2 linked regions of the Schizosaccharomyces pombe genome follow. Changing the gene in region 1 together with any one later gene gives a genetic interaction. Each region holds a gene or a part of one and is shown on either strand. Other genes may lie near its edges.

Evidence for each region.
Region 2: mutations in pus1 (region 1) and mca1 together harm fitness more than expected from each alone (negative genetic interaction), as found in Schizosaccharomyces pombe (one large-scale study listed by BioGRID).

What each region holds. Positions count from the first base shown.
Region 1 is NC_003421.2:2,118,946-2,123,184, reverse strand, and holds pus1 (tRNA/U2 snRNA pseudouridine synthase Lsp1), read right to left. Parts: upstream 2,571-4,239; 5' UTR 2,521-2,570; coding exon 1,444-2,520; intron 1,379-1,443; coding exon 1,023-1,378; intron 984-1,022; coding exon 812-983; 3' UTR 555-811; downstream 1-554. Other genes in the region: SAGA complex deubiquitinating submodule subunit Sgf73, read left to right, coding at 1-434; Ku domain protein Pku70 , read left to right, coding at 3,767-3,799, 3,865-4,047, 4,119-4,215. UniProt on the Schizosaccharomyces pombe protein: Formation of pseudouridine at positions 27 and 28 in the anticodon stem and loop of transfer RNAs; at positions 34 and 36 of intron-containing precursor tRNA(Ile) and at position 35 in the intron-containing tRNA(Tyr).
Region 2 is NC_003424.3:2,984,232-2,990,655, reverse strand, and holds mca1 (transcription factor), read left to right. Parts: upstream 1-1,802; 5' UTR 1,803-2,226; coding exon 2,227-4,320; 3' UTR 4,321-4,646; coding exon of another isoform or gene 4,647-5,870; 3' UTR 5,871-5,923; downstream 5,924-6,424. Other genes in the region: U2 snRNP-associated RNA-binding protein Sap49, read right to left, coding at 196-1,091, 1,149-1,260; SPOM_SPAPB1A11.03 (L-lactate dehydrogenase (cytochrome)), read right to left, coding at 4,647-5,870.

The DNA of each region.
Region 1 (4,239 bases):
AGCAATGCGGTGTTTTGCTTCCTAATGGGCAAATGTGCGCCAGATCTCTCACATGTAAAACGCATTCAATGTCAAGCAAACGAGCCGTTCCGGGAAGATCTCAGCCATACGATGTTTTGCTTGCAGCTTGTCAAAAGAAAAACCAAGTAAAAATACAACGACAAATCCTCGAAACTGCAAAAGAATCCGAAGATAATCAGCATCAAGCGCCTGTTGATTCTGATGAAGAAGTCAGTTTCATTATGAATGTTCTCCAGAAATCTGGCAATCAGCCTTTGGAGCAAAAAGTTTTTTTACCCGTAAAACGTCGCCATTCGTATTTTCGTACTAGAGAGTTAATAGCTGCTGCATTTCGACATGGTGAGCAGGGTATGCAAGTTACTGGTACTATATTGGGACGAGTGATTCCTTTTAGTGCCCGCCAACCACTATAAAGAAATTCTTTTGATTTTGCTTCGGTTGATGATTTAAATTCTTTATGAGATTATAGTTTACATTTTGGTCTACTTGACCACGCATTTTCGACTTTTTAATTTTCTCCTCCGTTCATCTAGTTTCTATTTCATTAATTTTTTCATTTTTTATTTTGTATATTGCACCATACGGTCTTAACATTTGGAATAATCAAGTAGAAGTTAATAAACTATAAAAATACCAATAGAACCCAAAACCAATAATCAATTCTAAAAAAAAGAAAGAAACAAGTATTCTCCAAAAATATATGTACACGTTTGTAGTCTAATTTTTTAAAAGAAACAGCAAAGTTTATGGTATCAGTTTGTTGCAAATCCTCAGTCTCACAATCAATCCTTTAGCCCTCTAAATCATCCTTGTTTTCAGCCGAATCTTCTTCTTCATCGCTAGAAAGAACATCAGGCAATTTTGAGGAAACCTCTTGCGTCTTTTCAGTAATGCCTATATCTGATAAATAACTGAAATCTTCTTCATTATAACTGTCAATAAAAGACAAAAAACAATGAAATCTAAACCGGTTAGTTAATTTAAGAAAAAAATATACTTACACTTGTTTACGAGCTTCTTCGAGAAAAATTTTATCATAAATATGAGCATGCTTAAAAGCAGTAATTTTTTGCTCGTACTTTGTAAAGTCGATAGGATCACGATTATTCTCTGGAGCTTTATGTTCATTATAACCTTTAAAAAACGGTGACTCTAATAAAAGTCCAAAACCAGGTCCCTTGGGTATGTTAATTTTTGTTTTTTTAAAGGCATCTTGTATGCGCTCAACAGGACAACCCGTTCGTACAACTAAAATAGCAAGCGCAATCATCTTTCTAATTTGGTGCAACATAAAAGATTGACCATGAACTTTACATGAAATCCATTCTGTATCGCCAATCATGAATGGATCAGATGCCTAGAATGTTAGAAACAAGACTTGTCAAGAATACTATAAATACAAAGAAGATAATTCTTACTTACAGTAAAAGAACGGATCACGCGATTACTATTCTTCTGATGAAATGCTTGCCCCACAGTAAAATTGTGAAAGTTATGAACTCCAACATATTGGTTTAAAGTTTCTCGAATAACGGACAGCCTATCTGCGGAAATACGGTAATTTTTTAATTTAAGTACTTCAATGTGCTTAAGTGCACGTTCGAGACGATAACTGGGATCAATCTTGGAACCAGCAGATTCGTCTTCAACAGAGTCAGGCTTTAAAAACTCGTTTACAATAGCAGAGGAATCGGAATCCATATCTGGATTAGTTTTAGCGGAAACTCCTGCTTCAGAGCCCTTATTATTTTCCGAATTAGCAAGAGCAGCAGCTCCCCTTTTAGAATATGGATTTACGAAGCCTTCAGGATCCTGTTCATAAAGGCTCAAAATCTCTTTGGCTGCAATATCATAATCATCCCAAAATTCCTTTCCTTCTTCATAAAATAATGAACGACTGAGTTGATTTATATTTTCCTTGTTAATTGGCTCAGCAGGCATGGGAGAATTCTTCATAATGCAATTTCCAAGTATGGACGAAGGTTTCGGTGGAACAAAAGCATACGTTGGAACCATATATTCATATATACGAGATTCGCAATAAGTCCTTGGGTTAAAAGAATTAATAGTACGGATCACATCCCATAAGCGAATGGAAGGAGGGAGGTGTTCGTTCACTTTTTCAATTAACTTCTCATCTTCCATTATAAGTTTGAGACTGATAACATTTCCAGCGGCATGAACTCCTTTATCAGTTCTTGCGGCTCTTGCTAAAGCAACTTTCTTTGGGTCATCAGCGTTATAAGAAGAAACGGCACCAGCCTTCACAAAAGCATCAAAAAGATCTCCTTCGATTGTTTTACTAGGAGGATTCAATTGCATACCATGATATCCGCTACCACAATAACCTACAAGACAGGCGACCTTTCTTTTCGGCTTTTTTTCTCCAACTACCAAATTCTCTGGCCGACCTTCTCCATTGTATATAGAATTAGGTCGGTTCCTTTTCGCTTCTCGACGATCACCATTGTACCAAGTGCGTTTACCACCACGTCCCATGCTGTAGTTAATATTATTTGTTTTTGATGAAAACGCAATTTACGCTGCACAGGTAAAAATTCATTTAAACATAGTAGAGTATATTTTCTTAATAATGAAATGCAAGGAATCGTTATTCATTCAATAAGATAAGAGTATAATTACACGATGGTTCACTAAACAATTATAAAACAATATACTTCGCTTACCTTAAGTTAAAAGTTTTAAGAATTAAAAAGCTAAATATTGTATCGCATTTCGAGCAAAAACAGATTGATGAAGCATTCAAACCAAAAAAAAATAATCAGCCTGAAAAAGGAATGACTTAAGACTGACTATTAATTGTTGCTTATTCTCTGTCTCTGTGTTTTATCTTTTGTTACCAGTTGTCGAAGTAAAGGCCAAATTGAAACCCGTGACTAATCCTTCCAATAACTAAGAAAAGTATACCTATTATCAATTTTATATCAAAAATCTAGTCCTTTTCATCGTTCATAAACCTCATTTTTTATTTTTTTCTTCCACACGTTACGAACAAAACCGCAAATTGTCAGCAATACTACACTAAGCTATGATATATTACGTTGCGTTTCACTATATGTCACATGTTCTAATTATATATCGTACCATGTATGATACGATATTGATATTGATCTTAATTAAAATCTATTAATATGTATATTATCTGAATACTATAAATAGAGCTACTGCTGAACCTCGTTCCTCAGTTCAGTTATGAGCTATATTAGTGATAGGTAACATTATAACCCAGTTAATACAATACCTATACTCAGTTGCTACTTATACAACCTGTGTATTGTAATATAATAGATCACAAGGAAAACTCACCGCAGTTCTACGTATCTTTAAATCAGATACCAAACTGCGTAGCCGACACAAATGAACTATAACGAACTAATATTAGTTGCAACTTACGACGGCTTTACTTGAGCTCTTTAAATTTAACGTATTCGCAACAATCACAGTGCGTGTAAAACACCCACTAGAATGTTGACACCATTGTGCATTTTATTATTTTTCTCAAATATTGGAATTGGTGCTTAATAACTCATATTGGTATATCAATATATTAAATTATTTGACATTTAAGATACTAATGAAATAGTTATTTCATTCGTGTGCTTTAGCCGTTATCATCGGACGGTTTACATAAAATATCAGCGTTTTTATAATTACGCGTGCTTCTTTTTTCTTTTTGTCGTATTTAAAAAGCCAAGGAAATTGTTTTTGATAATCTGTTTTTTACATGGAAAACGATGAACAAATAGATGAGACAGAAGTATGACCAATATGGACTGGTAGACGCAGGTGTTTTGAAATTATTATGCTGACGATTGTTTAAAGAATTTTGCAATTGGAAAATATGCCATTTTATTTGTGATTGAAGTTTCTCCCAGTATGCTTGATCCTGTCGATGAATTTACTCCCAGCTCTTTGCAGATGGCACTTATTTGTGCGTACCAGCTGGCGGCTCAAAGAGTAATCACAAATCCCAGCGACATAATGGGTGTATTGCTCTATGGTACTGTAAGTTTAATGCTGCATTTAAATTCACCGACGTTTACTTCTGCCATTAAATGTCTCTAACCACAGCGCAGGAGTCCTCTACGGGCCGATTCGCAAATCAAATGATGCTTTTAGACATTGATCCTCCTGATGCTGAACGTATTAAAAGCTTACAAAGCTTTGAAAAAGGTAAAAGCTTTTAACCGATTACTT
Region 2 (6,424 bases), on another chromosome or scaffold:
TTACTAGAAAAAGTCAAACTGTAAAATATAAACAAACATCAATTTTAATTTCTTTTAAATAAGATAAATCTCAGCTTCCACTTTTTTTACTGTACACGTTAAAAAAAAAATCAACCATACGGATCAATCTCAGCTATTTTACTATGCCGGCGTTTGAGCAACAATGGTAGTTATTTTGCTTCTTTTTAAAATATTTTACCTCCTTTGTTGTTGACTGTATCCATTTTGTGCATTGATTGTTTGATAAAATGGTATGTTTGGCATTACAGGAGCACCAGGTATGGTAGCAGCAGCAGGAGAAGGAGAAGCCATCACCATTCCTGGTGGTGGAGGGGGGACAAGTGGTGCACCTCCAGGGCCCATTGGAACATTCATCATTGGCATAGCAGGCATTCCAGGGAAATGCTGTGCAGCAGTGAAAGGAAGAACATTAGGTATTGACAAGGGAGGGACGGCAGTAGTTGCTCCCACTAGAGGAACATTCGGTACAGGAGGTATCGATGTAGCAGCAATTGTTGCTGGAGTATTAGCAGCAGATGTTGGAGCAGGAGTGGCGGGTGAAAATCCTGGAGGCAGAGTACTCTGAGGAGTAACGGCAACTTTATTCTTTTTAGCGGCTGCTGCTAGCTTTCTTTCCGCAATATCTCCGTGACGTTCACCCTTTCCTTCGCGTTTAAAGGCGTATGACACGGTAATTGGTTTATTCATTAAAAACTGATTATTCATGGCCTCAATGGCTGCATCAGCGGTTTCAAAAGAATCGTAGCTAACAAAACCATAACCTTTCGACCTTCCATTCTCGTCTCTTGCTACCTGAGGTGCCTTGACAAGTTGTCCCAAAGCAGAAAATGTATCGTACAATACGCGTTCATCAACAAGAGGATCCAAGTTGCCAACAAATAAATTTGCACCAATTAAGGTATTGACTCCTCTGTCCTGGCTAGCTCTATTGACCCTTATAGGCTTTCCAAACAACTTTACTTGATTCAGAATTTGACATGCATACTCAACATCTTGTTCGTGTAAGAATTCGCAGAAACCAAAGCCATTATGACTATTCCTTACTCTATCTCTTGGAATATGAATATTTACTGTATGAATTAGTATCGAAAGCCACAAATACAACCAACACTCGAATAATTACATACCAACTGGACCTGCCTGCAGGCATAACTCAAACAAAATAGAATCCGTTACTTTTTCATCAAGATTGCCAAGATATATAGTTGCATCCTGATTCCTGTCTTCTCGAATACTCATTAATAAATAAGTAAAAATAAGTTAAAGTGTCTATTATAGAAATTTATTAGAATAAATAGATAGACACGTTTGAAGACGCTGGTAGAAGATTCAAGAAATTGGTGCATAGTCTCGTTATTGACTTAATGACGAGCACCAAATAGCACAATAGAAAACTAAATTACAGTATTCATCGTTAAAATTTCAGTGTCCAGCGTTTTCCAAACACATTTATGGAGATTTTTAATACTAAATCTTCGTTTTTTTTTTATTATTTTATAATTTTACTCATGAGATTGAATTATATTCAAGTTGAAGGTACAGTTGTGAATGGTAGACTGACGAAATATTTTTTATAGCAACCTATCTCTTTATACAGCCCTAATTTCCTTACATCCATCGTACACTAGTACATTTAATAGGTTCATTTATTAACTTTTTGTAAAAACGATGTTTGGCCATGTATATTTATTTTTGCTGCTGTAGTTTTGAACACAACTGAGGGCTTATTTATGTTACCCTAGATGGGCTTTTTACTCCCATGTGGTCTTTGTAACCTTCTTATGATCTTCACCCTTCAGGTGATACCACGACTTCAGTTGAATTTTATAGCTTTTCGAGTGTGTTTTTAATCAAAATATTTCTGTGATGTTGGTGTTTTGAAAAAGCGTACTTGTGTAGTCCTAGATGCCCCTTTTTTCTTTCACTTAAGTCTATTATTGTTTATGTTTAATTTTCTACTTGCAAACTTTTCGAAAGGACTGTTCGTAGCCTTTACGTTTATTGCTTATTTATTTTTTCTGATTTAAGCTCGTGAGCTTTTTCTAACAGACGTACGATCAGACAATTGGCACGTCTGCTTTTCTTTTCTTTTCTTTTTTAAGACCTGTCTACTCAACGCAGGATTTCTTCGATTATCTAGGTTTTTAAACGGTTTAAAAGGACACAGAATATTTTATTACTTCATTTTAGTATTTTATTTTCGACATGATTGCTGCTGTCGAAAAAGATGCTGTGCCTCGAAAAAGGCGAGTAATCAGTCAAGTATCTCAGGCATGCATTCGGTGTAGGCAGAAAAAAATAAAGTGTTCTGGTGAAAAGCCATCATGTCAAGCTTGCAGTAACAACAAAGTTGAATGCATTTGGCCTGATCGACCGAATATGCGAGGCAAAAAGCCATCTTCCGCTGCCAGAACCTTGAGTCCTCTTACTGGTATAGTGCAACCGTATCTGGGCTCTCATCCTTTTTCTCCTACGATCCTCTCTCCATCATCTCCTAACATGGATTTTACTTACTCTATTAATAGCTTTGGTGACTATCAGAAGCAGTTAAGGCTACCAACCAGTAGAAAGTTATTACAGCTTTGGGACATATTTCTTAAAACTTCATATACCGAACTTTTTGGGATATTTAATAAGGCCCAAATTACGTCTCAAATTGCAAGTGATACTGCTCCGCCAGTCCTCGTACTTTGTATATGTGCTCACGCTGCTCGTTTCAGTCAAGAGGAAGTCAATAGATTTAAATCTTCAACTGCAGCATCTGATTACTACGCAAACCAAGCCTTTTCACTGCTTCCTTGTCGTTTCCAGGATATTTCACTGACTAATATCACTTGCCTGCTCTTGCTTTGCTTAATTGAGTTGGGCTCTTGTAGAGGCGCTAAAGCCTGGCTTTTACTGGGTATGGCTCTCCGTATGGTCGATTCTTTAGATCTTGGTAACGAAATAAATGATAATCCTCTTACGATGGGATCCAACACTGTTTCATGGACTGAAGCCGAGCAGAAAAGAAGGGTTTATTGGGCTTGTTTTTTTGTCGAACGTTTGCTAAGTACAGGTTACATGGCACCTTCAAAATTGCGCTCACTTTCTTTATCTCTTCAAAAGACTAGTATACAATTACCTTGTCCGGAACCTAATTTTTTATTTAATCAGCCAATTCTTACTGAGTTATTTGATGGATCTTTACCGGAAAACACTCAGTCAGACACCACTTCAATGGCCCCATACCAAAGAAGTTTACAACTGGAGTTTATGACGGGTTCCCTAATCCGCTTGTCAAATTTGTGGAGTGAGATCTCAAGATGGGCTCTATGTGGTGGATACACGAAAGATATCACACCCCCTTGGCTAAATCAGTCTCAATTCCATCGTAGCTTTGAGCTTTTAAAAGCCTGGCATGAAAATTTACCTCCAAGAGCAGTTTGGTCATACACTAACTATTCGGCGTATAGTTCTCCCGGAGAATCGGCTGGTGCCTGTTACACTTTTATGCATTTGCTATATCACACTACCTTGACCTATCTTCTGAGAAACGTCTTAGATTTATTTCCTGAGAAGTCGAGGCAGAAATCCAAACTTTTTTCCTCTGTTTCACAACGCTTCGGACAACAGCCTCCTACTGTATGGATGGATATGATTTTAGATCAAGTCATTACTTCTGCTGATTTCATTACAAAACTTTCAAAGGACCCCTTAAACTACATAATGAGCCCATTTGTGGGGTTTAGTATATTGACTGCTGCTACTATCCATATGCTTCTTAAGTTTTGTGTTGTCAACATCGACCAAAATTACATTTCTTCCTCTCGACTTGTACACGTTGATCATCAGATTTTACAGGATCGATCCAAATATTGGAAAATTAATCAAGCAATGTTGGTAACTCTTCAGAGATTGTATAATTTCTACCGCTTTCAGTATTTAGAGGAACAGTCACTTTACAATTTCAAAATTCCAGGATTTCCTTTATGTATTCTAGAATATGGTATAGTGGAAGATCAGTCGATGAAGTCTAATCCTGATCTGAATTCATTTTCAAAAGAGTTGTTTTCAAGAGGAACAAACGAGCTTTTGAATAATGGCGATGATACTCAAAGTGGGAATTCGACACCTGCTATGGGTGTTTCTGAAATACGAACTGATACTATTCTGGATGAGGAAGTCCCCGTAGACCCACTGATCACTTCGATTTTAGATGACGGTCGCTGGTGGGAGGAAATGTTTGGATCAGAAAGGAAGGCGGGTTTTAAGGAAACGGTGTTCGAAGACATGAATGGAAGAAGTATTCGATTGTAAATTATACGATGTACAATAGTTTCTTTAGTTTTTGTTTCTTTATTCTTTTGTATACTAGCACTCTAATTTAAAAAGCTTATAATGCTTTACTTTTTCTACACCCCTGGAATTCCTTTTATTCACGAACTCGAAATTAATGATATTGATGGAACTGGTTACTTGAGTCAGTTTCTCATAACACTTATTGATTGCTTTTTATGCTTATTAATATAAGTTACTCATATTCTTATTAATGGGTAGTTTTATATTACTCATAGCGTAAATAAATATTAAATGGTATAACGGGAATTAAACTAAATTTGCTGATCATTAACTAATGCATAAATTTATTCCTCCTTATATAAGACATCACGGTTTAAGTCCTTTGGTTTCACAGATACAATACCAGATAGATGTAGCGTTAATTCCAAATCTCCCAAGAGACAACGAATGACATGACTAACACCGGATGAACCTTCAAGGGCTAACCCGTAAACATAGGGACGACCGATTAAAACCATCTTAGCTCCTAATGCAAGGGCCTTGGCAATGTCAGCACCTGAACGAACACCAGAGTCAAATAGAACATCTAATTTATCACCAACAGCATCTACGATCTTTGGTAGCATCGTCAAGGAAGCAACACCTCCATCTTGTTGTCTACCGCCATGATTTGATACAACGATGCCCTGCATGCCATATTCAACTGCCTTCTTAGCATCAGGAACATTCATGATACCTTTGAGAACAATTGGGCCATCCCAATGTTTACGAAGGAACTTCAAGTCTTCCCAATCATGGCTGATTCCAGGAAAGACAATTCCAGCAAACTCTTTAGCTGCCTCTAACATATTTTCTTCGACTTCCACACCATGCTTCTCCTTAAACTGCTTACGGAAAACGGGGTCGGAAAATCCGTGTTCAACACCGATGCTGTCAGGATTTAAGAATGGATCGTAACCATTGTCCATGTCTGAGGGACGCCATCCAAGAATAAATGTGTCAAGAGTAACTATCAAAACTCTGCAGCCCGTTTTCTTGGCGCGGTTGAGCAAACTAATGGTAATGTCTTGATGGTCATTGCTTGGCCAATAAAGTTGATACCATCTCTCTCCAGGACCACTAGCCTTTTCTATATCTTCAAAGCTGGTTGCAGACGCAGTACTGATAATATAGGGTATATGCTCTCTAGTTGCAGCGGCACACGATCCACTTTCACCCTCTGGATTGAAAATTTTTTGTACTCCTACAGGAGCCAAGGCAATAGGAAAAGGATATTTTTGGCCAAAGACAGTGGTAGACAAGTCGGGGAAACCAGACTTGATGAGACGGTTAGGAATGATGGACCATTTCTTAAAGGATTCCATATTTTTATCATATGTCTCTCTTTTTCCTGCACATCCGTAAACGTAGCCGGCGGCATCCTTGGTCATTCGCTCAACAGCCAGTTGCTCCCAGTGTCTGCCATCTACGGTGATTTGGGGTCTTTGAAACTTGAGACCTTTAGCGTAAATTTCGGACTCATATGAAATGGGCTCTTTTGCGTCAAACCAATTGTAGTTGCGGAACATAGTTAAATCGTATTGAGAATTTATTGATTACTTAGATAATGTCTTCGAGAAAGGGAAGAATCCAAAAATGTCGTAAAAAAGTAATAGAAATTAAAATGATGAGTTTCTTAACTTTTAAGGTTCAAAAGTCTTCTGATATTGCAATGAATGAGTGAAAATATCGGACCGACAATTTCAACTTGGGACGAGGAGTGTATAAAGGCGAAGTTGTATTTTTTTAATATTTCTTAACAGATAAAGTGGTATTTAAAAGTAATAGTTTATATTGTTTTTTATTACAGCAATTCAGTGCTACATTTATAACTTTTGGTTTTCGAAATTATGTAAATATGACATCTCAAGTTTCATATTAAAACATTTGTAAACGAATTCGCTTTCCGTACCCATTGGGAAAAGCGAAATCCCGTTTTTGTCCAAATTTGAAACAACCAGAGATGATTTCATGAAACCTTTCATTAATTATTTTCCTAATGAATTTAGATGTATTGCGCTCAGCTACAAAGTCCATGTTCATTTAGCATCCTTTCTTATACTACGATGGCAAAACGGCTAGC